7 linked regions of the Neurospora crassa OR74A genome follow. The protein of the gene in region 2 interacts with the protein of the main gene of each other region in a biochemical or structural test. Links are inferred from orthologs where the notes say so. Each region holds a gene or a part of one and is shown on either strand. Other genes may lie near its edges.

Region 1 (4,090 bases), on a different chromosome or scaffold from region 2:
TCGACCGCAAGAACGCGAGTCCAGATGAACACCATGACTGGCTTTAGGTCTTGTGCCGCCGACTGGAGGAGCTTCAAGACGTACGGGAAGATGCCAATGCTGAGCGCCAGTTGTACTGCCCAAGGGCCAAGGTCCAAGAACCTTGCTAGTAGGACCAGAGCTCGTACTCGATGCTGCTGACTTAGCAACACTTGCAGAACCACTGGAAGCTGGTCAGGTGGCTTCTGGGACAAAGCATCCCCTCGAGTCAAGTAGATCTCGAATGCTGTGAGCTGCTCCGCGAAGAATGACGAGTTGATGTACTCATACTCTATCCCTTCACTCTCCTTTCTCTCGAGGGCCGGCAACTGGGCAAGAGCCAGATCGACGGCCAAGTCCCAGCTCTCCCAAAGGGGATGCTGACGTGTATCTGGCAACTCTGGATACGACTGGGGATGGCAGTTGTACACAGGCATGATACGCTGTGCGAGGAGAAAGTTTCGGAAAAGAGCGGCAACCATCAAATCTTGCCTAAAAAATTTGCGGAAGAGATGGCGTGGTAGCGTGGTCCATGCAATGGTATCTGTGATGGCAGTGAAAATCCAGTTGAGCTCTCCGAGAGGCGTCCGGCGCTCCTGAAGCCGCCCTGGCAGCTTCTTGGCTCGCTCAGGAGATATTTTGGTTTTTAGCGGATTTTGCAGACAGAAGAACCAGAGTGCCATCTCTATAGGGGTAGTCAAGCAGCAAGTGAAGAGATCAGCAGGCAGGTCGGGGTTGGTTGGCAGATTCTCCTTGACGTTGCAGGCTGCCAGATGGATGTAGGGACGGAAGTTAATCTTTTCGTGGTTTGGGTCCCGTTGTGCCGCCTCCTCTTCTTCTTGCTCGTGCTTCTCAACAAAACGGTGGTAATTGGTGAGGATATTGCCAGCCTCGGAGCAATCCCACACATATATCGTGGGCGCCTGCAACCATTGCTGAAGGTCGTAGAGAGAGACGGGGATATACTGCGTGTAGTTCTTGTTGAAAACCCAGATCTCTCCCGAGGCTGTTGGCTTGGGCACTCCATGCCCATTGTAATGGAAGAGCACACGCTCGTCCTTGGCACTTCTTCGGAGGGAGACACTGAACCGCTTGGTTTCTTCGATGGACGGGTCTAAATACTGCTTGTAGCGCGTCCGAATAGCAAGGGTCTCATATTGAGATTGCAAAGCTTTCCCAATATTCTCCAGTGCCTTGGAAACAGGAGGCACCGTCGGATCTTGCCAAGCTTCAAGCCGGGCACCCGGGGTGGTGCGAAGTTGATCTGGCGGTTCCACTCCTATGTTCAAGCATACTGCTATCGCAGCAGAAACTGTTTTTAGGCGATCGCGCATACGCCAGTCTTGGATCTCGAAAGCGGGTGTCTTTGGCTTCCCTGTTGTCTCATGTCGCTTATCGGTAAAGTACATGTACCAGCTCTGCTCAGCGCACGGTTAGTGACACCCCAGCCAACGGCAGAGACACAAATCAACGTACATTTGCAAGCTGAGAAATGACTTCTTCAGACTGATAATGGTCCTCGAACCCATGCCTGGCACCCCAATCATGGTACTCTTCGTCAACTTGTTCGATGGGGCTTTCCCTCTCCAACCGCAGTCCGTATTCGCTCTTAGACCGCGTTAATGGCGCCTTGGCCGGCCGGGCGACAGGCATATGGTCGTCGTCATCAGATTGCCCGCCATGCAACGTGGTTCCAGGAGATGTTTGGTTATTGTCGTCGGGGGCGCTGGAGGGGCGTCGAAACAAGGGCGCTGGTGAGGAATCGGACATGCGTCTCTGTATGTTGGATCGAAGTGGCAGCTGGTTATGGGCAGCAGGATGAGAGGTCCCGTTTGTCGCGACGCGCTGGTTGCCGTCTTCTGGCCTCTGAGGATGGACTTGTGACATTGTGACTGAACTTTGACGAGCTGGGTTGTTCATTGTGTGGCGGGATGGTGATGTAGCAGTTGATGACGGAAAGCCGGGCCTCGCGTAACGGCCAGAGGTGGGAGTGGGAGCAGAGGGCTGTCTCTGGCCAAATTCTGCGGAGCCGGGGTGGGAGGCGTGAAGAGAAACAGCAGTCATGGTACGCGACTAGACGAGAGCGAAGGTCATGGTCCTCGGAGGGTAGAGTCGGGTTTTCAAGGCCGCGACGAGGCCGGGTAGGCGATGAGTCGAGAACAGAGCAGCGGTGTAACAACTGAAGTCTGTAAAACAGCGAGCGTACGGTGACTTGGAGGTGATGTCGGCGGCCCAGGTAGATGCGCTATATCAGGCGGCACAACCAGAGCTGTATTTCCTGCAGAGGAGGGGACCGATCTGAAGGCTAGGGAAACGCAGAGGTTCGGATGCGCGTGGGGCAAGCGTGCGATTGACCGTCGGCTGTAACGAAGATGATGCGTATCTGACCAAGGTAGCCTGGTGGTAGTAGTTTGGTGGCAGTAGTAGTGCCGTCGTGACTTTCGTTGGATGATGCCGGTCTTTGCGCTGTAGGTTTGAGAGATGGGATTGGGTCAGTCAATCTAGCTAGACTTTTATCAGAGGCAGCTGCGTGCGGGTTATAGACGTAGATTCCCACTGCAGTGGGTGAAATGCGCTTCCGCTTGTGTAACCAGAGCCTACCAATTGTCACTGCCAGCAAATTGCCTGTGTTTCCACTACTTGGTATACCGAGGATATCGCAATAGCAGTTGGTGAGACTTGGGCAATACGAAACTACACGCAACTCCTACTGCTTTGAACTGGCAATGCCGGCCGTGATGATGTCGGCAGAGGGAACCGCTTCCTTGCCTGTGTGTTGTCGTGGTGGGTGCGGGTGGTGGTGGTGGGTTGATGCGGGCCGTGGAGCACAGACGTGTGGATGTGGATGCGCTGCCCATCAGCCATACGCTACTTGGGGGTTTCTGGGTGCCAAGGCTTCCTGTCCAGAGGGGAGGACTGCGGGGAGTGCCCGTTTCTCGGATGCTACACTACACTACTAGTCGTACCTCAAGTATTCAACCTCAAGGTAGAGTGAAAACAGTGAAGGGTGACCTGTACGGTACGTCTGTACCTAGGTACTAGAGGTAGTGTACTAGGTAGGTAGGCAGGCTGAAGGCCTTCTTGGCATCTCCCGCATACAAATAAGCCCAGCGGAGGTATTGTACCGCCCGAACCATCACGGTGTCACCACAGAAGGAGGCACTGAACGCACATGATGATGCAGTCAGTGCACATGGTGGTCCATGCTTTCAGCCTCACCCCCCTCGTTGGTACAAGTACGCTAAGCTGCATTCCTTGCGCCGCAACGTTGCCATTCTCCGTGGGACTTTTCATTCATTATCGATATTGCCCGAGTTAAGAAACGGTTCGTTGACTTGACTCGAGGCCTGCTTCGAGGATCTCACAAATCCATGCGTCGCCTCGGTCTGGATCCGATTCCCGTCGTTAGCCAATCACTTCTACATATACTGACTGTGCAGGACGGATTATCATCAGTTTGTCAAGCTTTGCGAACATGGAAATCTCCTCTCTATTGGCACGTTTTCAACCATCGAGCCATATGCATCAGTTGTCCTATGAGCCCTCTCAACACAAAATCGGCGAAGCTCACTCGACCGCAAGCCACGCTTCCATGGTATTTGCTAGATATCGATAGTCGTGCATGATGTCGCCGGCAGATGCCGAAGCCTTCCTGTTGTTCCTGCTCACCTGCTTGTGTCTTGATATTGACTACTTCGTTCCGTATCCTAGGATGGTTTAACACGATGGGATGGGCTGCAGTGGCATTCACACCTGAATATTCAACATAATCTACCTTGGATTTGTTGGCTGTGGGAAAAAAAGGTTCGAGTTGCATTGATCGTGCTTTTGCATGAACTCCAATTTCAAAAAATATCGGGGGTGGAGCCCCGGCCATTGGGGATCGCTGAGCAAGGGGTCTGTGCGCTTCGGCCCTTTGCCGCGGAGCGGGAACTTCACGTGAAAACGTCCGGAACGGGAGCCGGCCACCCCGAGGACACCTGCTCCGAACAAGTCCAAACGAGTTTCTGCATTCTGTCACGACATCCGACCAACCCATTCACATCGATACGGACACGGGAAGTCACCTTCT
Region 2 (3,997 bases):
CCTTGTTGTGATGGTCGAGAAACAACAATGCTTTGATGAAAAATCTGATGAAAGTGTAATATTGAGAGTATTGCGTTGACTGTAAGAGTGGAAGAGCAAGAGAAGGACAGAGAAGGATCAAGAAGATGAAGAGTCGATTAAGACACCTTGGACGCGGGCCTTACGTCAATCAAGTCGCCGATGCCTATCTCTGCAGGTTCATGTGTGCCCAAACTCCATGCAGTGATGGTTCTTGCCCTGGTGATTAGAGAGGATGAGAGGTCCTTCCGGATGTCCTCTTCACATTCAACCTTCCACAACTACGAACTTGACGTTGGACGTTGGACGTTGGATCGTCCTTCACAGGGGGGGAGGGAGGGCTCCACGGCCGGACTAGCGCGAACTGAACTCGGCGGTCGGTACGTATCTTTCACGTATGATGCATCTTGTCCACCAAAAAAGGGCGCCACTTTCGGCCACGCAACGGTCACCTCGCACGGTGTGTACCAACCCACTGCACCACCATCTTGACTTACACGTCCGACTCCATCCCCAATTGACCAGATGACAGGTTGACGGGAATAACAAAAGCTCACGAATTGAGACACAAGCAAATCACCAAGAGACATCATGTTTGAGACCGTAAATATAGTCTTTATTATGGCATCGCTGTATGTATGAAGCGTGTGCCATTAGATTCGGCTAGATATGCCCTGTTTCATGGTTGTCATCATTTCCCAACCCATGGATGCAATAAGTAACCCAATAAACGCTGAACGCCCAAATGAACCCTTGCTCGTCATCAAGAATCAGAAACAAAGACGACAATCCGCTTACTGGCCGCCACGGAGGCGCAGCACCAAGTGAAGAGTGCTCTCCTTCTGAATGTTGTAATCAGAGAGGGTCCGGCCATCCTCCAACTGCTTACCAGCAAAGATCAGACGCTGCTGGTCAGGCGGGATACCCTCCTTGTCCTGGATCTTTTGCTTCACGTTATCAATCGTATCCGAAGACTCGACTTCCAGCGTAATCGTCTTGCCCGTCAAGGTCTTGACGAAAATCTGCATACCACCACGAAGACGGAGCACCAAGTGCAGGGTGCTCTCCTTCTGAATGTTGTAGTCGGAGAGGGTGCGACCATCCTCGAGCTGCTTTCCAGCGAAAATGAGACGCTGCTGATCAGGTGGGATACCCTCCTTGTCCTGGATCTTTTGCTTTACGTTGTCGATGGTGTCGGAAGACTCAACCTCGAGAGTAATCGTCTTGCCGGTAAGCGTCTTAACGAAAATCTGCATACCACCGCGTAGACGAAGAACGAGATGAAGGGTAGACTCCTTCTGAATGTTGTAGTCGCTCAAAGTGCGGCCGTCTTCAAGCTGCTTGCCGGCGAAAATGAGACGCTGCTGATCGGGAGGAATGCCCTCCTTGTCTTGGATCTTTTGCTTGACGTTGTCGATAGTGTCGGACGATTCCACCTCAAGGGTGATGGTCTTGCCGGTAAGAGTCTTGACGAAGATTTGCATACCACCGCGCAGGCGGAGGACAAGGTGGAGGGTAGACTCCTTCTGGATGTTGTAGTCGGAAAGGGTGCGGCCATCCTCCAACTGCTTGCCGGCAAAAATCAAGCGCTGCTGGTCGGGGGGAATGCCCTCCTTGTCCTGAATCTTTTGCTTGACATTGTCAATGGTATCCGACGACTCGACCTCGAGGGTGATGGTCTTGCCGGTCACTGCGAAGAGATAGTTAGCATCGGTCGATCGATGGTAAAGTGATGATGCGGTGAGCGTGCGATAACTTACAAGTCTTGACGAAAATCTGCATGATGGGGGTTGTGCAGTGGACGAATGGACTGTTGATGGATGAAGCGAAATGACTAGAATCGAGTGGCGGGAATGATATGTGCGTGGATGAACACTCCTGCGATGATGGCGATGGAGAGAGATGGTGAAAGCGGAAGAAATGGAATCGGGGATGCAGATGGGCGGGGAGGATTAAATAAGTAGGTTCAGGTGCTGGCTGCGGCGGAAGTGGCAGGAATCAGGATGGCGAACTTGGAGGGGCCAGGCTTCCACTGCCTGGAAAGGGAAGCGAAGCGGGGGGGCTGAGTGAAGGGGAAGAGGTGACGGGACTGGAGTGGAAGCGGAAAGGTGCCAGGTCCCAAGTCGATCGTCACTGGTCCGTTTGCAACGCCTGCCACGGTGTGAGTGGTGTGTCACTCACCTTCACTGACAGGCCACGCACAAGCCACTTGGCGGTTGGGAGTGACAGAGAAGTGGAGGGAAGGCGCGAGAAGAAGCCAGTCAGACGACAGTTTCCCCCTTGACTGTTGGCTGTTGCCCGTTGGCAGGAGTGGTTGGACATCCCCCCCAACAGTGACCGCGGCTGATTGATCGCACTGTCAACGCCTTCTGCAGTGGCGGGCACTCACCCAGCCGTTTGCCCGTCAATGCGTCAGTCACCTCAGCCGGGCTGTTTGCCCTGCTTCAGTTAGGTTCTCTCTGGATGAATAAGCCAAAGAATGATCTGCATGTGGCTGGACGACGGACCTTCGAGTTTCAGTTGTTTACAAATCCGAGAGTGCCATCTCGACTTCTCGTTACTTTGCCAGCATCTTGACAAGCTTCTCTCCATGTTATTATAATTGTTCCCTCTATCAGGTTGTTGATGGCCTCTTGCTCGATGCTTCACACAGCAGCAGTCCAGCTGGCATCATGGAATACCGACGTGCACCTTGCTGGTTCCCCGCATTTGATAAGCGAACCCCCCAACGAAGTGAGCGGTCAATGACGTGGTCCGATCGAGGGCACCGAGAGGCAAACAGGGAAGAGTGAACGGTTGGATCGCAATTTTCCAGCAATGGAGGAAATGACCAGAAGACATGAAGATGAGTATATAAAATCAAAGAGACCTGTGACTTTGTCTTTAACCAACACCACAAAGAGTGTCACCAAAGGGGTCGAGGTGTTGGTCGTCGAACGAAAGAACAACCGGACGGGAGGTGCATCCCGGCCAGGCATCGTTTCAGCTCCAGACAGTAAAGGGGCGAGTCAGCTGGCACTGTAAACCACAGAATGCTCAGCTGGTGTCACGGACTCACGGTTGGTTCTTCCACCGACCTTTGCAAAGGCTGCTGAGGTAAGCGCTCCGTCTGGTGCGACGATGAGCTTCGTTAGTTCTCCGTGTTCATGGCGGGACACCGACAACTGAACCGGACGGGAACGGGGAGCTATTACCAGGTATTCTCTTTCGCTTTTCTATCGGCTTTCCGACCGACCGTGGCTGTTGACGCCGGTAAGGATTCAAGACCGGTGACAGATGGGAGACCTCCTGACTGCAGTGCCTGGCCATAAGGGTTCCCACCAGCCCCCGACCGATGATGTCGTGACTCCGTTCCTCCCGTTATCGCCCAGCATTATCGTGGCCTCTTTCTTGGCTCCACCGCCCCGCACTTTAGGAGGGTCGCTCCGCTATTGACGGTCTCTAGCCTCCGTTCACGCATGATCCATAGTATCGCGAGTTACCATCATCGATCAGAATGCTGGGTCCTTTACGCACGAGTGTAATATGTACAGTAGAGGGAGGTAAGCTGTGCAGCACAACATCACAAACTCCTGGAGCCAAGTGACGAGTTCCGCCCTGCCCGCTACTAGGCCTGCCAACCACCTCGGGTGAGACCGGGGCCGGCATCACCTCCTGCACGGGATCCCGGGGACTCCCGCGCAGTCACGCCTACAACTCCCGTCTTCGCAAATGCGGGAATCGTCCTTACGGTCCGTTCAATACACCCATTCGGCTCGGGTTGTGACATCCCATGATCAAATGACAACCCTGAACGTCATCAGATTGGTGTACATGATACTTTTTATTGTCAATGCGTGTAGTGAACCAAGTTCAATGCAGGTGCCTGGTTGCCGTTCGCAATCCTTCTCACTCATTGATCTTGAGTACTTATGTACTCGTCTGGCCTAGGCTCTATCGTAAGAGTTGGAATGCATTTTTCCACTCATCCAGAACCAAC
Region 3 (4,168 bases), on a different chromosome or scaffold from region 2:
CCCATACTAACACACGCAATTAGATACCTCCAAGCCATTGGAAGTTATGCATAGGTCCTGGGTTCGACCCCCAGCGCGACCACGGTTTCTAATTTTTTTGCAACTTTTCCCCCTTCGCTTGATTTCCATTTGTTTCCTTCCCCCCTTTGCATCCATGACTTGCCCCCAAGACCTCTCCGTGCTCCGGTATCTCGACGGCGGCACCCGACACGATTGAGCTACAGCTTCCTTATCGTTCAACGTAACCCGCCTTTTTGCCTTATCGCTTCGCTTGGATGGTGTCACTGCCAAGGGTATCCCGGGAGCAGCTCCGTCTCCCCATTTTGGAAGTCTGGATATCCACGGCGGCGGAGTCGTAACACCTCATCGTCACAATTCTCACCATGTCTGCCATGGAGTTTTGCTGTCACATTTTGTCACATAGGTATGCAATCGCTTCAAATCCATGTTCATCATCAACAACAGTAGGCATGATACCTATTCATTCCGCCCGTATGTTCATTTCGCTTGTCAGGAGAGCCTACTGCATTGTGCCTACTGTGTGGGATCTGGCGGTCCAAACTCTCCCAAGTCCCAGCTATGAGTGCCATCTCGAGCCGCTCTTGATTCATCATCTATTACACATCTAGACTTCCGGTTTCAACACAAACCAAAAACCCCAAACTCCCCATTCCGCTATTGATGCGCTTCTTCCTCCCCGTTTAGTTGTACTGGGCATAGGCCGCAGTAGAGTTGAACTTGAGGTTGCCCTTGATGACCTTGTCCACCGCACTCAAAAAGTCCTTCTCCGACGCCACCTTCCTGCGCGCACGGATGGCGAACATGCCCGCCTCCGTGCAAACACTACGCAACTCAGCACCCGTCGCGTTCGGGCACAGGCGAGAAATGAGCTCCCATCGGATATCGCGCTCGACTGACATGCTCTTGGCATGAATGCGCAGAATGTTGGCACGACCCTCGAGATCGGGGAGAGAGAACTCAATTTTGCGGTCGATACGTCCGGGACGCATCAGGGCGGGATCCAGCGTGGAAGGACGGTTAGTAGCGAACATAACCTTAATGTTGCCACGGGCATCGAAACCATCCAGCTGCGTAATGAGCTCCAACATAGTACGCTGAACTTCATTATCACCACCCGCGCCGTCATCGAACCGGGCTCCACCAATAGCATCAATTTCGTCAAAGAAGATGATGCAAGCCTTCTTAGTACGGGCCATCTCGAAAAGCTCGCGGACCATGCGGGCACCCTCACCGACGTACTTTTGAACCAGCTCGGAACCAATGACACGGATAAAGGTGGCGTCTGTCCTGTTGGCAACGGCACGGGCGCAAAGCGTCTTACCGGTGCCGGGAGGTCCGTATAGCAGGGCGCCCTTGGGGGGATCGATACCGAGGTTGACGAACCGCTCTGGCGACAAGAGGGGCATCTCCACGACCTCGCGTAGCTTCTCGACCTGTTCCTTGCAACCACCGACATCGCCGTATGTGACGTCAGGCTTTTCCTCGACCGTCATCATGGTAACGCTCGCATCGATCTTGGGAGGTAGCGGAAGGAGAATCTGATACTTGTTTCTGTCGACGCCGACGCGCATTCCTTCCTCGATATCTGTCGGGCTGACTCGCTCGCCCAGCTGGACAACAAACTTGGCGATCTGCTTGACGTTGATGACGTACTTGCTCTTCGATTCGTCCTTCTCGTCAGGGATGATCTTGGTGCACCGCGCTACCTGAAGCGGTTGCTCTTCTGACATACGCTGACGGTCGGCTGCCACATCCCAAAGGTGAGGGGGCGCAAGGCCGGTATCTGATTCCTGTAGACCAAAAAGTATCACTGGTCAGCTAGATGCGCTTCGCGGTTTGTAGGGTAGCCACCGCAAGACTAGCATACCTTGACGCCAATCTTCTCATCCACGCTCTGCTGCTTCTCCTTTATTTGCTGTTCTAGCTTCTTGATGGCAGCACCGTAGGGCGCGGCGCCGTATGTCTTGAGGACCTGAATATCCCTTGACGGGGGTTAGACGACTTGTCCGTTGCGGTGGTAGTGGTGGGCGGGCTCTCTTGGGCGGCAACATACTCGTCTGAGAGGGGAGTGATCTTCTTCTCCTCGACTTCATCGTCGCCAAACGTTTTCCTGTACTTCTCCCAGTTTTGACCTGTGGCAGAAGGCTATTCCCGGTGTCAGTCGTGCAAAGTGGCGTTGCACCTTTGGGTAGGGCGACTGCAAGCATACCATGATGACGGCGGGTGGGAATGACGCTTCCCGTTTGGACTAGGTAAGGCGAAGAAGGGTGGGTAATCGAAAGGATCGGGTCGGTAATTAAAGTCGCGATGGCTCCGGGCGAGAGATTCCTTGTTTGGCGTGGGTCGTTCGTGGGGTTGTAGAGATCTCGGCGCGGGTTTGATGTGGTGTGTCGGGTTCAAGTTGGTTTGATGGGTGTTCAGTGCTTGCTTGATGTGATGGATGGATGGATGGAGATGGTTCGTCAAGGTCCAACTGCCACCACTCACTGACAGAGGGTCGAAGCTCAATCGTTGCCGTAATCCATGCGCTGCCTTGCGGGCGAGGGAGCTACGGGTGGGTGCCACCTTGACAGCACCTACCTAACCCTATCCGGTTAGACTGTGTAAAGTTACAGCGCCGCAGGTACCTTTTCCACCGCCCACCGCTCAGCAAAAAGCAGCCGACAAAAAATTACCACCTGCCAGCCCACCTTTGCGCCCGCGCCAGCACTCACTTTACGGTCCCGCAGTGGAAACATTGGTACGGAGGGGACGGTGTGTGTGTGTGTTTTTGGCCCATTGATTCCAGACCAGCAAAGAAGGAGAAGAGGAGAGCTCTGCCTTACAACACAACAACTGCACTGCACCCAGCGCAAGCCGATTCCCCAAAACTGTCAACTCGAATTTCCGGCAGTTTCTGATCCCCCCATCCGACCTCCCGTCTACTATCTCCCATAATCCCAAATACCAGATCAAACAAGCTTGCACCATGGCGACCGCACCGGCAGCTACCCAGACGGCGAGCAATGCGACTTTCAGGGTGCGTCCCGCTTTTTGGAACCTGACCCCTCGATAGGAGTCGGTGCGAAAGCTCCAGGAGGAGGGGTGAAGCTCTGTGGCAAGCCAGTTGCTGATAGCCCACCATGTAAACAGGACAAGGAGAAGCCCATCGCCGTTCGCTCATCCAACATTGTCGCCGCCAGAGGTATGCCTACAACATTTTGTCATTCCGTCTTGTGTCGTTGTTGTCTGGGGTGCTGACACAGAGACATGCACCAGCCGTCGCCGATGCCGTCAGAACGTCGCTGGGACCGCGGGGTATGGACAAGATGATCATGACTGGAAAGGGGGAGACCATCATCACCAACGACGGCAGCACAATGTTGAAGAGCATGTCGGTCATGCACCCCACAGCCAAGATGCTCGTCCAGCTGTCGCACGCCCAAGATGTCGAGGCCGGTGATGGCACAACCTCGGTCGTCGTCCTTTGCGGTAGCTTGCTCGGTGCCGCCGACAGGCTACTAGGCAAGGGCATCCACCCCTCAGTCATCTCCGAAGCTTTCCAAAGAGCCGCCGCCGCTGCCGTAGACGTCCTCCACGACATGTCGCAACCCATCTCCCTCACAGATACCGCCTCGCTCCTCCAGGCCGCCAACACTTCGCTCTCCTCCAAGATCGTGTCACAATACTCCAACCTCCTCGGCCCCATGGCCGTCAACGCAGTCACCAAGACGATAGATCTCAAGACCGCCGAGAATGTCGACCTCAAGAACATCCGCATAATCAAGAAGGTCGGCGGTACGATCGAGGACAGCGAGCTGGTTGATGGTCTCGTCCTTACACAGCCCGTCATCAAGAGCGCTGGTGGTCCCGTCAGGATGGAGAAGGCCAGGATCGGTCTTATTCAGTTCCAGCTCAGCCCTCCCAAGCCTGATGTGCGTATACCTTTCTGGCGACCATAACCTACCCACCTTGCCTGCTGGCCCTAAATCGCCCAAACACTACCCTTTTCGTGCTTTTACTAACAACTCACTCTTACAGATGGAAAACACCATCTCCGTAAACGACTACCGCCAGATGGACAAGATCGTCAAGGAAGAGCGCACCTACCTCCTCAACATGGTCAAGAAGATCAAGAAAGCCAAGTGCAACGTCCTCTTCATCCAGA
Region 4 (3,253 bases), about 370 kb from region 2:
GCCCGGAGTGGCAACTCTGGTCCCGTCCTCTTTGCGCGCGGTAATCCTGCCGCCGGCGGCCACTTCCATGTTCACAGCTGTCGGGTCGGGGGTGGGAGCATCGTCCATGCCTTCATCTAAATCACGCAGTACGTTGAGATCGCTACTATCGGCTGCCTCGTCTTCATCATCCGACAATTGCCTTTCGTCGGCACATTCAAGCGCATTTTCAAGGTCGTCCTCCTCCGGAGGTTGACGTGGGAGAGAGCTATCAGATGCAGCTTGCTTACGAGCGGAGCGTCGCAAGCCACCCTTTTCCTTGGATGTAGCGGCGTCTGGCGTCGTCGGAGTTTCGGTAGTGGGTTGGGACTTGGATTTGGGCTTGCGTGAAGACCGCGAACCAGATGCTTGAGCAGGGGCAGCCGCCGGCGGTGGTGCAGGGGTCGATCGGCTGGAGGGTGGCAATCCTCTCTCCGCGAGACGGGCTGCCGCTGCTGCCGCCCCCATGAAGCCCGAGGCACCCATGGCGGCCAGAGCTCTAGTCACAGCATCTCGCCTAGAGGCTCCGTGAGGACGATCCGACAAGCTAATTCTGGGGCGCAAATAATCGTCCAGTGACTTGAAGGTCGTGATAGCGTGAATTGACACCATGATGTTACGGTAGGACCGGGGGATATCTGAATCTTCATCGGCCACAAGCTTGAGGCGTATCTGCTTAGCCAACATTGACGCTGCCGTGCTACGGCTCCCGTCGAATGAGTTGTGGTGAGCTGTGATCACCTCAAAATGCTCAGACCTGCTCAGTAAATCTTGCAACTTGTGGATCAAGACACTGAAAGGTGTTGCGGGTGAGTCTGCGGTGGCTGTCTTGGGCTTCGACTTGACACTGTATCCCATGAACACCTGCAAGAACGCATTTTGTGCTGCAGCTGCCATCTCCTCGTCGGGGTTGCTGAAAACCTGTTCCAAGACCCGAACAACTCCAGAGCCAAGAAGTTCCGCACTGGTTACGCTCTCGAGGACGTCAGTATCGAAATAAGAGACCAGCTTTTGAAAAAGTAATGTTCCGTGCTCCATGACCGGACCACCCGGTTTACGGCAGAGATAAAACTCTTCGATCTCGGTTGCAAGATCTGATAGGCTGGCTAGAATCTTGCTGGCCTTTTTCTTCATGGCTTTGCCCTGCTTCTCGGTCTCATACATCTCCAAGAACTTCTTTGCAGCCTGCCGGATGCTCGACTTGTACGTGTTTGTGGGGAAATCTGAAAGGTATCGCGGGGGTCCGTCCAGTGACATGGTCTCTCCTTCGGAGCTGACGGGTGATTGATCGTCGTCCTTGACCTCGTTTTCATTTCCATCATCGTTCTCGTCGTTCTCGTCATTCTCTGTGTCTTCCGGCTCATCTTCATCGAGTTCTTCACCGCCCTCTTCAGCCCCGGATTCATGTTCGGAGTGTTCAACATCCTCGTCATCTGCTTTGTCCTCTTCCAAGGTTTTTGGGTGTTCTTTGTCGGCGACACCTTGGTCAGGTGCAGAGGGACGGCCAGAGACACCGGTGAGAGATTCCCCAGCTTGGTTCGTTTCCTCCTTGACCTCTTGCTCGGTAAGAGAGTGTTTTCTCTTTGGCTCAGGCGCATCAGCTGCCAGCTTGGTGATTTCGGCAATCACGCCTTCACGGTAAAGCTGATAGCGATAGACTGTATCCAAGCGACTCATGAGCAACTCAGTGGCCTGTAATGCCAGCCCAACCAACAGAGGATGGTCTTGCTGGGACAAAATGGAGGCCAGAAAAGAAGCATAAGGGACTGATCTGAGTGCCTCAGACAGGATGTCCTGGTCCAAGTTGGAGAGCATTTTGAGCTGAGCGGCCAAGACCTTTTGACGGACAGTGAGATTGACGGTGCTTGAAAAGGCATCCGTGAGGGTTGGGAATAGAATCAGGGCGAATCTCCGAACCTCCTCCTTGCAGCCCTCCATGTGTTCGATACGTTTTTCGTTTGCAGTCCTTCTCCTAGTGCTCTCCCCAGATCCACCCACAGGACCTGCAAACGTGCCCAATTCCACGGTATAATTGATCGACGAAGGGTCGCGCAATGGCACGCTAGGCAGCAGTTCGCAAATGACGTTGAGTGTCTCAATGATCTGGTCCCGAGGTCTATGAATCAGAGCCTGCATTATGAGCACACTATCAAGCTTGGAAGCAAGGTCGTCGTTCCCACTCGGCGGGGACACGCCCGTAAGGATCTGATAAAGCGTCTCCACTACATTGAGCTTGAAGAGTTCAGCCGACAGACGGGGACTCGCCATTGCCGTGAGCGCAAGAACCCGTAGGAACTGAGTGTGAATGTGCGGGCTGATCAGGTTGGTGGAGCCTGGAAGTAGCAAACGGAGAATGGCCTTGAGCAAATCCACATTCATAAGCTCTTCCAACTTTGTCGGGTGGTACTTGAAACTCTCGGCAATGCGCGAGACACATAACGAGGCCTGCTCAACGATGCGCTGATCGCTACTCCCAAGCACGTTCAACAGGATGGGCATGACACCTAAAATTTCCGGAAAGGAATCTTCCGGGATGTTGCGACAGCAGTTCGCAGCCGTGGTAACAGCGGAGCGTTGCGTGCTGGTTGCGAAAAAGTCCAAATAAGTCAGGCAGGCAGTCAAGCCGCCTTCGCGCATGACGCTTGTGGGATATTCCACAGAGATTTTTTCCAAAGTGCTAAGTGCTTGCTCGGCTAGGTCGATGAAGGAGATCTGTAGCAGTTTCTCGCACAGAATATGGACTGCGCCCCCATAGACCAAGGCCGATGTGCTTCCCGGCAGGGCCTCCATCAGGTTCGCGAGGCAACGACAGGCGACAAGTTGGATTTCAGGGTTCTCCTCTCCAGTAATCTCGTTAGGTCTCATCAGCGCTACCAGTTCAGGCACAACCTGGTCGGGTTGGAGATGCCCGCTCAGTTGATCTTCGTTTGTCATGAGCAGAAGGGTGGATAGTTCATGCAGGGCCATAAGTTGCATTGACGGGTCGTCCTTCCGCTTCAGATCTGCCATTATTTTCCGCACCTGAGCCGAGACTCCCGACATAATTCCACTCAGATGCCTCAGTGTATCCTGAAGGCTGTGGGGATGACGCCCATGACCACCAAAACCAGTGAAGGGATCGTCATCTTCATCGTCATCATCGTCGTCGTAACGATGGTGGTCATCGTCGTCTTCATCATCCTCGTCGTGCTCGTCACTATCGGTGGGAGGACTCTCCTTCGGAGGGGGAGGTGGC
Region 5 (3,952 bases), on a different chromosome or scaffold from region 2:
AGGTTTTATATACCCATCAACCGGAGGGGCACTTAGTTAGGTATGGAAATAGGGAAGGGAAAAACAAATGGAGACACACAAAAAAAAAGGGTTCTTGATCATACTACTTGTATGCGGACGGTTTCATGGTCTCGGATCTTATCTTCGTTTTCATTGCTGGTTATGGTTCGTGATGGGAATGCTTCGTTCACTCTTCAAGGGACAGGACTATAGAGTACATAAAGAATAGAGTGATTCGTAAGCTGTGAAAACACCACACCTCTGTAGTTATCCTTGATCTAGATCTCCGCGAAGCATTTTTTTCAGTGTCATCACCCCATTCACTCTTGATGCTTCCTTACTAAAACTCGTCGAAACCTGTCGCGCAGTGGATAGATCAGACACACAAAGCCCACCCGTATATTGCATGTGAACGTTGATCAGCAGTGTTGAGCATTTTGAGCTCCCTAAGGTATAATGTCATCATAAAGTCTCCAATGCATCCTAAGCAAGCCCAAACCATCCAGCCGTCGCCCACATTTCAAATGCAAAGGCAGCTGCTAACGAAAATCCACCCTGCCAACGACTTTTAACGCCCAGTTACGAAAAACCCAAAAATATCTCATTCCAGCCTACAGTCTCACCCCTATTTATTGTTGGGGCATGTCGTCATCTTCCTCCGGTCCTTGATCGAAAAGGAAGTTGGCGGCAAGCTCCTCGTCCTTGTCGCAAGCGAAGTAGGCCTGGATGGCCTGGTCCTGGGGAAAGCCCAGGCGGGTGAGACGCTCAATGGCATCGCGTTCCTCTTCTGTGACAGCAATACCGACAGAGCCACCCTCACCACCCTCGCCAAGGAGGTTCAGGAACTGATCCGAGTTCTGGGCGATCATCTGGGCAAGCTGAGGGTTGCCGGCACCGAGCTGTTGCAAGATAGGCTCCAGCATCTGGGGCTGCTCCTGTACAAGCTGACGCATTTGCTGGAATTGCGCGTTGTTGCGGAGGAAGTCGAGGTTACCAAGACCAGCGGCCTCGGCACCAGCACCCTCCGCACCACGAGCACCACGTCCGCCAGCGCTGTTGCCGAGCTGAGCGGCAAGGTCGAAAAGGTTGACTTGATCGTCATCATCACCACCGGCAGCAGCGGGGGAAGCCGCCTGAGCGGCAGCAGCAGGGGCAGCAGCCGGAGCGGCAGAAGGCTGGCGAGAGGCAGTTTGTTGCTGGAGGTTGGCGGGAATACCCTAAAGCTGTGTCAGTAAACCAGACATAGATCGGAAAGTGGAATGAGTTGTGAAACGTACGTTCAAGAGATACTCCACAGCGCGCTCGGGGTTGAAAAAGGCGGCACGCATAGCAGCGTCAATCTGCGAACGCTCGAAACCCATAGCCTCCATGTTGGCAATGGCCTCGGCGCGCTGCTCGCCCATGGCAAGGGCGTTGGCATCGCGAGCACCGGCAGCTGGGGCCGCCTCAGGAGCCGCAGCGGTTCTAGCGGGCGTCGGCGTCGAAGGGGCAGCGGCAGCAGCGCTGGAGGCCGCGGGAGCGGCAGGGGGAGCAGGTGTTGAGGCCGGGGCGGCGGCAGCGGGGGTAGCGGGGGCAGCGGCAGACGACGACGACTCGGCTGGCTTGGGGGCAGTGGTCTTGGGCTGCGCAAAGTGTCAGCTTCATCTTTGTACAAGGACGTGAGTAATAACGGGGGAAATAGTACCTTGTTCACGACGCAGACAACGAAGCCCTTCTCCTCGATCTTGTACGACTCGACGGTCTCCTCATCCTTCAAGATCTTACCTGTTGGGGTAAAGTCAGTATTCGGGAGCGGTATCCATCGTTTGAGAAGCAAGCGATGCTTACCGGAGTAGATAAGCTTCTGCAGCTCGGGAGCCCAGCCCCTCTCCTCGGAGATCTTCTGCTTGACCTTGGAAATCTGCAACCGGTTAGCTTCTAGCTCGCCAGCATCATGCACGTCTCCCGAAGCGACATGGGAGGCTCGCGACGCCGACAGAGCATTCGATTGTCGAGGGCTGTCACGGCGTGTTGGATGTCTCCATGACGTCGGCCTGAGGTAAAGGGTGTAAGGAAATGGGAGGCGACGAAGGGTAACCAACAGTCTCGGTAGGCTCGATCTCGAGCGTAAACTTTTGTTGTTTGAGGTCCTAGATGAACGAACAGTCATTGTTAGTATTTGACTATATAGACTTTGAGAGCTTATGGACAGAGGGAGCGAGCTCTGATCCAACCAGGCAGACAGGATTCAAAGAAGACGCTGGGTTGTTTCCGAATTTGCTGAGAAGCCATCGCGGTACGTCTGGCTCGTTGTCTGCCTGGCTGGCTGGCTGGCTGGCTACGTCAAACACTCGACATGGGCAAGCTTATGGGCACGTACCTTGAAAGTAACCTTCATGATGGGCAATCTGCGACGCAGCTAAACGGCTGCTACGTTGACACTGAGAGTCTGATGATGTAAGTAAAGTCTGTCCGGACGGGCGAGCTTCGTTGGGTTCCGAGTCGCGATGGGAGACAGCAAGATTTGTTGCAGTCGGCGGAGTTGGGCGAGGACGAGGAAAAAAAGTGGAAGTGGTTAGTTGGTTGCTGTGGTAAGGTTGATGTGTGTGGGAAGGCTGCCGCAGAGATGGCGAGGTGGCATACAGGGGAGGAGATAGTTGTAATCGCTGTGGCAAGAAATATGGAAGGTAGCAGGGAAGCTTGAACGTTTTACAGCGGCTTGTGATGACTGATGAGGCAGCTTTGAGGCGGAGAATTTGGGGTTTGTTCGCTTCACCTGAGTGCACTGAATGGAAGAGGGGCACAGCAGGCGGGTAGCCAGGTTCACGGTGTGCTACCTACGGCAGTGAATGGCTGGGGGGAAGCGGCAGGCAAAGTGCAGTGGACAGGCACAAGGCAGCGGCCATTGTTAGGCGGGGGGGGCTGCGCGGCATCTTGCCGCCTGGAGCTGGTGGAGAGGTCACAGTCGTCACGCTGCCATCCCGTCCGTCTGTACACACAACACAGACTGATTGATCCCATGGATCCATTCACTTTCCAGGTTGTGTTGGCCTTGTTGCGTTGAAAAACATGAATTGGTTTTCTTTGTTAGTCTTGCTTTTGAATGTCACTGAACTGATAACCACATGCTTCCGTTGGCGATGGAAGTTGATGCAAAATCAAAGGGGAATGTTTGATGTCATGCTGTGAGCCAATCCAAAGGACCCATCTTCTTTCATCTCTTTTTATTCTATTTGAATTTTTTTTGCGATGAAGAAGATGAAGTCATCGCTGATTATGGCAGTGTCACGGCAATACTAGGTAATAGATCTCCACTCATAAGCGCGTATAAAATGGGGCTGAAGAACACCTTCCATCTGTACCAATCATACGCATTGGTAGGCTCCCTTGGAAAGAGCACCAGATAAGATAAGGCCTCCGTCACGTTCGTGACCCGACGTGGATCGTGACATTGAATTGACTACGAGTAACCTTCCCTTCGGTTATCATCGCAAAAACGACGGAACGGTAGCATTGGGGTTACTTTTCAAGGCAGCAAACATGATTTGAGCCAGACATCGTTTTATTCTGGTTTCTCTCATCACCATTCCCAAGCTTCCAAGCTACCTACATCTCCATCGCAGTCATGGTCGGACGTCTAAGCATCATAGCTTAGATGGAAAATCACAGCTCAATGTCACCGCGCATATTTCGTGGGCACGATCTTTTGTTCTGACTTCTTCGGTTCTCATCCGCTACATCTTTCAGTCGTCCGTCTCGCGCATAGCGCAGAGAAGCATCTATCTGAATCCATCCATCATCTAGCCATCCTTCTATCCAACCATAGCCGAGCTTTTCTATACACAAATCCCACCTATCCAAGACCCATCTTTAGGTATGGAACTCAAGTCCAACGCCTCGCAATCAAAGGTATCATATTCACGTCCTCAAAACAAAATCCTCCTCCCCTCCCCCAAGATATGAAAAATACAAA
Region 6 (3,649 bases), on a different chromosome or scaffold from region 2:
ACGGAGCGCTTTACCTTGGCCGTTGGTGTCCTCACACCACTGAGAATGTAGGCATCCTGAATCTGCTGGCGGAGAGCAGACTGGGTGGAAAAAAGACGAGCGCAAGCGACACGGGAAGTGCGCGAAGCCGAGCCAGCGGCTGTCCTGGCGTGGCTAAGAACCATTCTGATGTCGGAAGCTGGTGACGATGAGTTACAGGACGTAGGGGCGGTACTGCACAGCGCAGATGTCGGAGGGGAATCTGGCGAGAAGGAAGAAAGGAAGATGGCCGAACGGGGAATGAACAACAGCACAACAGGAGAGGCAACACAAAAACAGGAGCAGGAAATAATTGGGAGTAGGGACAGAATCACAGGGAAGACTTTCTTCTATTGTTTAAAAATGATTAATAAAACTACCAGTTGGGGAGGCGATAGCTAGGTGGTCTCTTCCTCTCCTTCCCGCTTTCTTTTCCTCGGAACTTGTCAGATGCCATGATGGCACCGGTCGGCTTGTGACGGTACATGTGTGGAGAGGATTCACACCAAAGCGATGCTTCACCCCGCCAATTGAGCGCCAAACAGTGGCCGCCACCGTGGTTCCTCCGCGGGGACCCCAACGGGCGCAAGGGACACAGAAGCTTGGTATCCGGGGTTTCCCGTGGAGCCTGCCGCTGACCGACAGGGGAAGCTCCTCATCCACAACAACTGAAGAATGCCCTGCTTGGGTCATGAGCCCATGAGTGCCGTACCCACGGGCGGATGGAGAAACATCAGATGGAGCCAGAGTTGAAGCCGTAGCGGAGGGGAAACGGTCAACGGATCGATTCGGGGGTGGATGCTCTCCAAGCAGTTCATTCACTCTTTCCGCAGCCTCCTGTTGCCCAGCGCCGGCATCATACCTAGCTGTACCGGATACTGCCCGCATAAAATCAGGGATCAAAAGGCCAGGGCACTGCACGCTCAAGAGTCGTTTCGCATCACTTAACAATCTATCCCAGTCGCGGTTGTCCCTGCAATTGCCATCCCGCGCGCGTCTTTGGATGTTGGGCAGAAGCGAACCACTTTACACGCGGGAACAAAAGCCGAGCTTCCCAACGCGATATGTTTGAGATGTTGCGTTGGTTCCAAGCAACGATCCTATTGCGGCGTTGAAGTGTTTTCGGGCAGCTGCCGGGGGATGCCACAGGAGACAGCTTGATCAAATCACTGATTCAACCCGAACAATTGGCTGTCATGCTACAATTTCTGATGTTTTCTTGGGATTCATTTGTCAGTTCGATTAGTTAGATGTTTGGCTGGACAACCATTCGGCGGTGGCGTGAGAGAAGGTGTGTGACTGTGTGATCCCATTCCATCAGCTGGCAGTCACCTCGCGCACGAGCCACCAGTCGCTTCATACCCAAGTGTAATTGGCCGAGAATCAGAAAAGTGCTATTAACAATCCGGCGGCAATTGTCAACCGGGGCAGTCACTGTTCATTGCCCCTGCCCTCGGCGCGCGTTCTCCTAGCTTCTTTGTGACGCCCCCCTCCGGGCAATCAGTTGGGTATGATAAGATAGCGGTCGTTAATGCGCGTTCACTTGTTGGCTCTGCTGGTTTCCGTCATTCATCTCCGCCCCTTCAAATCAGTTCGTTTGATTGTCTCTTCGCTATTCCAACCACGAAACCCATCTCGACTTCGAACAAAGTATCGCATCGATCCTACGTACTCCATCAACCTTGTAGCTTTCTCTCCATACGCCTGGGCCGACTTCATCATCCATCACCAAAGCCAAAATGTCAACCGCTGCCCGCCGCCGGCTCATGCGAGACTTCAAGGTGCGAGACATCATGAGCCACCCCGTTGGGTTCACACCGCTTGATGACTTGGCCGCCATGAGCACAATATACTCACCATGTTCCTCGACAGCGCATGCAAACCGATCCTCCCGCTGGTGTTTCCGCCTCTCCCGTACCCGATAATGTTATGACATGGTAAGGAGAACGATCTTTGCTGCGGTGTCGTTATGGGCGGTCGACCCCCGGCATGGCAATGACTGACATGAGTCTCCATATAGGAACGCCGTGATCATCGGACCCGCCGATACGCCCTTCGAAGATGGCACCTTCCGCCTGGTGATGCACTTTGAGGAGCAGTATCCCAATAAGCCTCCTTCGGTCAAGTTCATCAGCGAGATGTTCCACCCCAATGTTTACGCCACTGGCGAACTTTGTCTCGATATCCTTCAGAACCGCTGGAGTCCTACGTACGACGTCGCGGCTGTTCTTACCAGTATTCAGAGGTACGACTGCATAATATCTTGTTGACGTTCATTTTGCGTTGTGTTATTATGCTGACAAAACTGTCTTGACTAGTTTGCTCAATGACCCGAACACAGGATCGCCTGCAAACGTCGAAGCCTCCAATCTATACAAGGACAACCGCAAAGAATACCACAAGAGGGTCCGGGAAACTGTTGAGAAGAGCTGGGAGGATTGAATAGTGACGACATTTATCACCACGGGGCCCTCAATGGCAAAAAGCCAATGATTGATCTGGGTGCTGCAAGTCGGTGTTGATATTGCTCACTGGGCTGTTCGATACAGATCTCTTGGCTATATCAACAGTCAGTTGTCGACCGACGACGAGTTGCGAGATGATCCACATTCGAGGATACCCGGCGGTTTGGCCTTTTAGGGCGTGAGGGTGGAACGGATGTCGTGATATTACATTGCATTTGGGAGGCGTCGTTCTTTCGGGGCGTTTTTGTTGTATTTCAAATATCCGCATCTCTCGCCTATTGATGGCTGAGAGTCAGCCTGCTTGTCTGCAATGGAGAGAGCGGGAGTGCTTGGTTTTTCTCACTCTTTAGGGCGATTGTCGGGTTTGGAGTTTAGGCGCTCGTATCATACCAACACAAGCACATCTGGCGAGGGCAGTCCCTGGATACCTCAACTCACCCCAAAAAGCCCTAGATAGCGTTCTTTTCTTTTGTCTTAGAGATGAAGAGATGGCATAGTGTCTTTCATTGCAAAAAGCTCACCATGTTATGTCGGCCGGCTTAGATGTACGAGTTTCCAGAGAGTCTTGCATTTCTCAGCTTTCCTCTGTTTCTTTGACGAAAGTGTACATGACCCCGCTTGGTGCCTTACATCCACATGATTTATATCACCTATACCTAAGGCTGAGAGTCAAGTCTAGCGTGCACATTTCGAACTGCGGCGTTGTTTAATACACGCTCACGTTAACAGGCATACCTTGGATGCAAGGGTCCCTGTGAGAGTGAAAGACAGGCTGACTACCTCTATCGTAAATGCCCAGAAAACGCAGGGTTAAAGGGCTGTCAGATGCTTTTGGCGGCCGTCAGAGAGCATTAGTGTACGTGGCTTCCGAACACTTTTAACCCTGCAATCTGGAAACAAGGTTCTCAAGTCTGTATGGTACGTCCTGGTCCGACTTACCCAGCTCTACATGGCTCTTTTGGAAGACTTCTCATAACTTGCATAGGTACGATTTTATGTTGTAGGACTGACGCTTTGCGTATGATCTGCATGAGGGGTGAGGTTGTTTATATATTGTGGGTAGCTGAACTTGGCTAGGCTCCTCTACCTACAGCGAGCGGTAGCCTCTTGAAAGCTCGAATTGACAACGTAGAGAGGTATCTTGAAAATTGATTGCAAGTTACCCA
Region 7 (4,217 bases), on a different chromosome or scaffold from region 2:
TCAACTCATTGCGCGCAGATTGAAGTTTTATCTTCCAGAGGGCGTTCCAACAAGTATAGGAGCTTGATAGCCTCCCCATAGATTCGGCTGCCATGTAGCAAAATGTGCTTCACGAGATTTTCGGAAGTGAGACTGCCGACCCGTTACCACCCATTAAATGCCAGAAGGGCATCGTGGATCTGTCCAAGCATTGATTGGTTTGTCCCTGGATTCTCGGTCACCGCCAGAACGCAGACTTTGGTGAGATGCCGTAGTCAATCCCGTCGCGCAGCTGAAGACGAACACCTGCAGCGAATCTGAAGAGCAAACCGTCCTCCACAAAGACTGCATGTGCAATCTTGAATAGCTTGGTCAGAGGCACCTTTTGATATCAAGCGTCGTGTTGTGGATTCATGCATTGAATTCTCCACCTGTGCGCTCATGTCACTTTGCCGTTTTCAGGGCATCGTGTCATGAAAATCGCGATAGCCTGTTCAACCGAACTTGAGTTTGCTTTGCCCGCGCTCGACCTTCTTAGGTCTACCTTGTCGCTTCGGCATCGTGCTTGTGGATTTTTGATTGCCGGCACGCGAGCTAGACGCTGATGGCTGATTGACGAATGTCTGGCTGACACGTTCTTGTTCTTGGAGCTCTTTGGCAAAATGCCAGTCCTGATGGCTTTGCAGTTCCTCGGGGCTATCGAGGCTGGCGTTGCATCGCGAGCACGTCAATGTGATGATTGGGCCGGGTTCTGATTCAGACTTCCCGTTATATACCTCATCGCCTTTGCCCACCCCCTCTGAACCGGCCGGCTCACCTGACATGACCTCCTCTTTCAGGGTGCCCAACCTTTGACCGCTTTGACCACTGATGGCCGTATCGTCGGAGCCCAACCCAGGATTAGCACCGTGGGATAACTCTCTCTTTGCGAAAAATCGTTCTATCCCGCCGTTATCCAGGCGCCTTCGCTTCTCTGCCGGGCGGATCTCGGTTTCAGAGTCAACCGTCGCTGTCCCTGACCCCGTCTTGCTTGCCTGAGCCTCCTCGCCCTTCAACAAGAAAGCGCCAATGCCCATGTTTCCAGTGACACCATCCTCAAATCCTCCAACGCTAAGGCTGAGGTTGGAACATGGCCAAACCTGACCCTCGGAAACAATCTGGCTTAACAAGTTCCTGGCCAGCTCTAGCAAACTCTCTTCGTCGAGCTTACGGCCTTGAGGGATAGGACCCTGACGTGACCGGGTTTGAGTGCCGTGACGGTGATGGAGATTGATGGTCTTAGGCCTCCGCTTATTTTCCAAAACACCTTCTTCGACCAACCGGGAAAAAATGTCAGCGGCAAAAATGCGCAGCCATCTGACAGCCTGCTCGAAGGAGGTTATACTAGGACGAAAGGACTTGGCCGACAGCATCGACTTGATTTGGACGCGCGGGTTTACCTCGCTGGTATCGATCCCACGCACGGTGTTGTAGACCCAGACGCCTGTGTCATCGCCTAGCTTCGATTTTAGCTGCTCCACCGAAGCGCTGAGCAAGTCTTTGACCGTGTCTGTGTGAAACATCTGACTGATTTGTTCGCCCAGCTTGCCGCCAAGGTTCCGCATCTTTGTGAACTTGAAGTCGGACAGAAAATGCTGAATTGAACGATTCCGAAGCACCGTCTGTTGGTTGGGCTTTCGGTAAGCCGAGCCCAACTTGCTCAACAGCTTATTACAGGCTACACCTGCGGAGCACGTGTATCCAAGCTTATCTTTGATGGCTATCCGCACCTTGCGCACAATTTCTGAGCCTATAAGAATAGCCACGTCGTCCCAGTCCGGATCCTCAAGTTCAGCGTTTTCGTCTGGCAGGTCTACCAGCGCATCAGCCTGCCAGTCGAGAGCGGTGATGGATGGCATGGGTAGCATCTCGGTCGGGTCATCGTATGGGGGAGGGTTGGCAAGCTCGGGAAAACGTTCGAGCAGGATAGTGTGCACTTGTGCCGAGAGGTCCATAAACACCTCATCGATGCTCGCTTTCTCCACCTTTTGAAGATGAGGTGGGAGTTCTTCTTTGATGATAGCCAGAATCTTACGGGATTCAAGTCGGTAAGGGTCTAAGGACACTTTGTGCGTCGCCATGTTGGCCGCGGCATCCGGGTGGTAATCCCACTTGGCATCGCCTTCTCTCCATGTTGCAACGTGTTGATGTATAAGATCCGGGCAGAGCTTTTTTGCTTCCGACACGTTGCAATGCCGGCCGATGCCAAAGCTACGAGCAGGATAGTTGACTGCAATCAATCCCTGCCTATACAAGGTCAGTTTGACGTCAGAGAATGCCCAATAGGCACATTTGGAGACTGGGTTTACCATTGCTGAACGGCAACGGGCTTGTCGTCTGGTATCCCTAGTCGCACCATTTCTACCTGAGCGTAGAAGCAATCGAGATCCAGGTGAGCAATGACCCTGAGCGGACACGAAGTACTCGAGGCAGCGAGTTGCTGGATGTGACGATACGTGAACCGTGAACGCTTCATGCCGGGAGCGCCCGCGGGAGACAAGTCGCGAAAGGACTGCATATGGGGCGGTGACGACATGGCAGCGTATGGGCGGAATCTAAAGCCAAGGGTGTCGTCATTTTCATTCGGTCGGGCGGGCTATGAAGACGGGCCGGCTACGGCAATCAGAGTCGTGGTGATCGCGGATGGCCGAGAGACGTTCATCGGTGACGGAGGCGCATGAAGACGGCGTCGCGACGGGTGGTTGTGAGAGTGCCGAAGTCACGTCGAACGGAGCAAAAGCGCGCTAAGGTAAGGTGGGAACTGCCGCGTAGTCCAGTGTCCAGACTGCCCTGTGGAAACTGTTTGGAAGCTGACAGGATCGGAGGAAGTTCGAGCCGGGAGGTCCCCCACAGCGGGTAACTCGATAGATACATCCGCGCCTATCAGTGATGAGATCCCCACGTGCGGGAGTCCCACCCTGCAGGTCACGACTCTGCTGTGCCAACTCCAGTTACATAGCTATGTACCTCTGGAGGCGGTAAATCATCATCGAACTGAAATGCAGAGCCGCGAAGTCATCCCGCGTTTTAGCCTAACCCTTCAGTCCAAAAGGGCCCCTTCCCGCATATGCGAGATACGCTAGACATGTACACCTGACCTGAAGTTGATGTGGCAGAACGAACGGTCCACAATACAGCCCGTATTCTGCCCAAACACGCCAATGCCTACATCGCCTAGTAAGGCGCGGGCGGGGGCAGGGGGGAAGGGGGGTTACATGAACGGATGCTATCGATGTTGCGTTCGAGATATCTAATGTAGTGTAGGGACTTGCGCGCGGGGATACCTAGGCACCTTGCCGACTGCTCTAGTCTTGGAAAACTCGAAGTCCTGGGCTACCATCACATATCAACACCACCTCACGGCATCACGACGACAGGGTTCTCAACCAGTTATATTGTGCCGAAGTCGCGGCTAGAAGTATGTGCTTTGAACATACAATCGTCTACAAGCAAATGCGCATGGTCCATCACACGTTCGACGAGCGACTTTAGTCCTGCCCTGGAGAAAGAACGAACGAGATACTACAGCCAAATGGTCTCCTCCGATACTCTCTACGCAACCTGAGAATCGGGAACTTGAACCCAAATGACAACTCACCACCTGCATACATACTGAGTTACCATATGTTCCACACGTGGGGGTTATACGATGCAATGAACCCTACGATACTACCAGTTCGCACGATGCATCATTTTCTGTTATCATCGGTTATCACTCGTCCTTCAGATTGCACTCGGATTTCCTTCGGTTCCGTCCACATCCTGTCAGTCCATGTTGGTCTCTCAGAGTTCCACTGGAGTTGCGTCACGCTATTGAGATCAAGTACGCAGGGCTTACCATATTGGAGTCGGTTAGGTAGGAATCAAGCAGCGGCACTGCATGATTGCAATTGCAACAAGCGCCATGCTTCTGACCTTTACGTTCAACGCTATCGAACTTCCACTTTTTCAGGATATGGGTAGTAACAAGGACTGTGCTCGGCCGGCTCGAAAAAAAAGTTTCGTGTGGATGGAGAGGGTAAAGTCACTGAAGAGGTTACCACAAAGGGGAACATGCTGGGAAGTTGTATAGAAATAGTACCTGACTTCGTTGGTGAAAGGAAGAAAGAGCCTCGAAACACTACCTGCTCATACCCGGAGAAATAGCAGTTCGACACCATACATGAGTGCCGACCGTAAGCCAGCATTAAAGTATCTAA

What was found.
Region 1: the proteins of ubi (region 2) and NCU00621 form a complex in vitro, tested with the Saccharomyces cerevisiae proteins (2 studies listed by BioGRID). The link is inferred for Neurospora crassa OR74A from reciprocal best matches to the Saccharomyces cerevisiae genes UBI4 and KOG1.
Region 3: the proteins of ubi (region 2) and rpt-1 form a complex in vitro, tested with the Saccharomyces cerevisiae proteins (2 studies listed by BioGRID). The link is inferred for Neurospora crassa OR74A from reciprocal best matches to the Saccharomyces cerevisiae genes UBI4 and RPT1.
Region 4: of the proteins of ubi (region 2) and NCU09866, one has a biochemical effect on the other in vitro, tested with the Saccharomyces cerevisiae proteins (3 studies listed by BioGRID, with this or other methods). The link is inferred for Neurospora crassa OR74A from reciprocal best matches to the Saccharomyces cerevisiae genes UBI4 and UFD4.
Region 5: the proteins of ubi (region 2) and rad23 form a complex in vitro, tested with the Saccharomyces cerevisiae proteins (14 studies listed by BioGRID, with this or other methods). The link is inferred for Neurospora crassa OR74A from reciprocal best matches to the Saccharomyces cerevisiae genes UBI4 and RAD23.
Region 6: the proteins of ubi (region 2) and mus-8 form a complex in vitro, tested with the Saccharomyces cerevisiae proteins (2 studies listed by BioGRID, with this or other methods). The link is inferred for Neurospora crassa OR74A from reciprocal best matches to the Saccharomyces cerevisiae genes UBI4 and RAD6.
Region 7: the proteins of ubi (region 2) and polh are reported together in a solved structure, tested with the Saccharomyces cerevisiae proteins (2 studies listed by BioGRID, with this or other methods). The link is inferred for Neurospora crassa OR74A from reciprocal best matches to the Saccharomyces cerevisiae genes UBI4 and RAD30.

Annotation. Positions count from the first base shown.
Region 1 is NC_026501.1:7,805,790-7,809,879, reverse strand, and holds the start of NCU00621 (TORC1 growth control complex subunit Kog1), read right to left. Parts: upstream 2,801-4,090; 5' UTR 2,083-2,800; coding exon 1,495-2,082; intron 1,437-1,494; coding exon 1-1,436. UniProt on the Saccharomyces cerevisiae protein: Component of TORC1, which regulates multiple cellular processes to control cell growth in response to environmental signals. Nutrient limitation and environmental stress signals cause inactivation of TORC1.
Region 2 is NC_026506.1:3,143,847-3,147,843, reverse strand, and holds ubi (ubiquitin), read right to left. Parts: upstream 2,801-3,997; 5' UTR 2,526-2,800; intron 2,458-2,525; 5' UTR 1,801-2,457; coding exon 1,779-1,800; intron 1,709-1,778; coding exon 813-1,708; 3' UTR 261-812; downstream 1-260. UniProt on the Saccharomyces cerevisiae protein: Ubiquitin exists either covalently attached to another protein, or free (unanchored).
Region 3 is NC_026501.1:8,944,359-8,948,526, forward strand, and holds rpt-1 (26S protease regulatory subunit 7), read right to left. Parts: upstream 2,801-4,168; 5' UTR 2,234-2,800; coding exon 2,231-2,233; intron 2,167-2,230; coding exon 2,075-2,166; intron 2,004-2,074; coding exon 1,889-2,003; intron 1,812-1,888; coding exon 702-1,811; 3' UTR 444-701; downstream 1-443. Other genes in the region: NCU02839 (T-complex protein 1), read left to right, coding at 2,990-3,040, 3,154-3,205, 3,280-3,935, 4,042-4,168. UniProt on the Saccharomyces cerevisiae protein: The 26S proteasome is involved in the ATP-dependent degradation of ubiquitinated proteins. The regulatory (or ATPase) complex confers ATP dependency and substrate specificity to the 26S complex.
Region 4 is NC_026506.1:2,771,752-2,775,004, reverse strand, and holds part of NCU09866 (thyroid hormone receptor interactor 12), read right to left. Parts: coding exon 1-3,253. UniProt on the Saccharomyces cerevisiae protein: E3 ubiquitin-protein ligase which accepts ubiquitin from an E2 ubiquitin-conjugating enzyme in the form of a thioester and then directly transfers the ubiquitin to targeted substrates.
Region 5 is NC_026503.1:4,431,844-4,435,795, forward strand, and holds rad23 (rad23-like protein), read right to left. Parts: upstream 2,801-3,952; 5' UTR 2,378-2,800; coding exon 2,360-2,377; intron 2,130-2,359; coding exon 2,082-2,129; intron 1,901-2,081; coding exon 1,828-1,900; intron 1,765-1,827; coding exon 1,685-1,764; intron 1,623-1,684; coding exon 1,278-1,622; intron 1,218-1,277; coding exon 630-1,217; 3' UTR 130-629; downstream 1-129. UniProt on the Saccharomyces cerevisiae protein: Plays a central role both in proteasomal degradation of misfolded proteins and DNA repair.
Region 6 is NC_026504.1:1,993,974-1,997,622, forward strand, and holds mus-8 (mus-8), read left to right. Parts: upstream 1-1,434; 5' UTR 1,435-1,757; coding exon 1,758-1,799; intron 1,800-1,890; coding exon 1,891-1,955; intron 1,956-2,038; coding exon 2,039-2,263; intron 2,264-2,336; coding exon 2,337-2,460; 3' UTR 2,461-3,149; downstream 3,150-3,649. Other genes in the region: NCU09732 (acetyl-CoA acetyltransferase), read right to left, coding at 15-164. UniProt on the Saccharomyces cerevisiae protein: E2 ubiquitin-conjugating enzyme that accepts ubiquitin from the ubiquitin-activating enzyme E1 and transfers it to a E3 ubiquitin-protein ligase.
Region 7 is NC_026501.1:1,955,564-1,959,780, forward strand, and holds the start of polh (sister chromatid cohesion protein Eso1), read right to left. Parts: upstream 2,801-4,217; 5' UTR 2,555-2,800; coding exon 2,328-2,554; intron 2,266-2,327; coding exon 474-2,265; 3' UTR 1-473. Other genes in the region: NCU16343 (hypothetical protein), read left to right, coding at 3,643-3,981. UniProt on the Saccharomyces cerevisiae protein: DNA polymerase specifically involved in DNA repair. Plays an important role in translesion synthesis, where the normal high fidelity DNA polymerases cannot proceed and DNA synthesis stalls. Plays an important role in the repair of UV-induced pyrimidine dimers.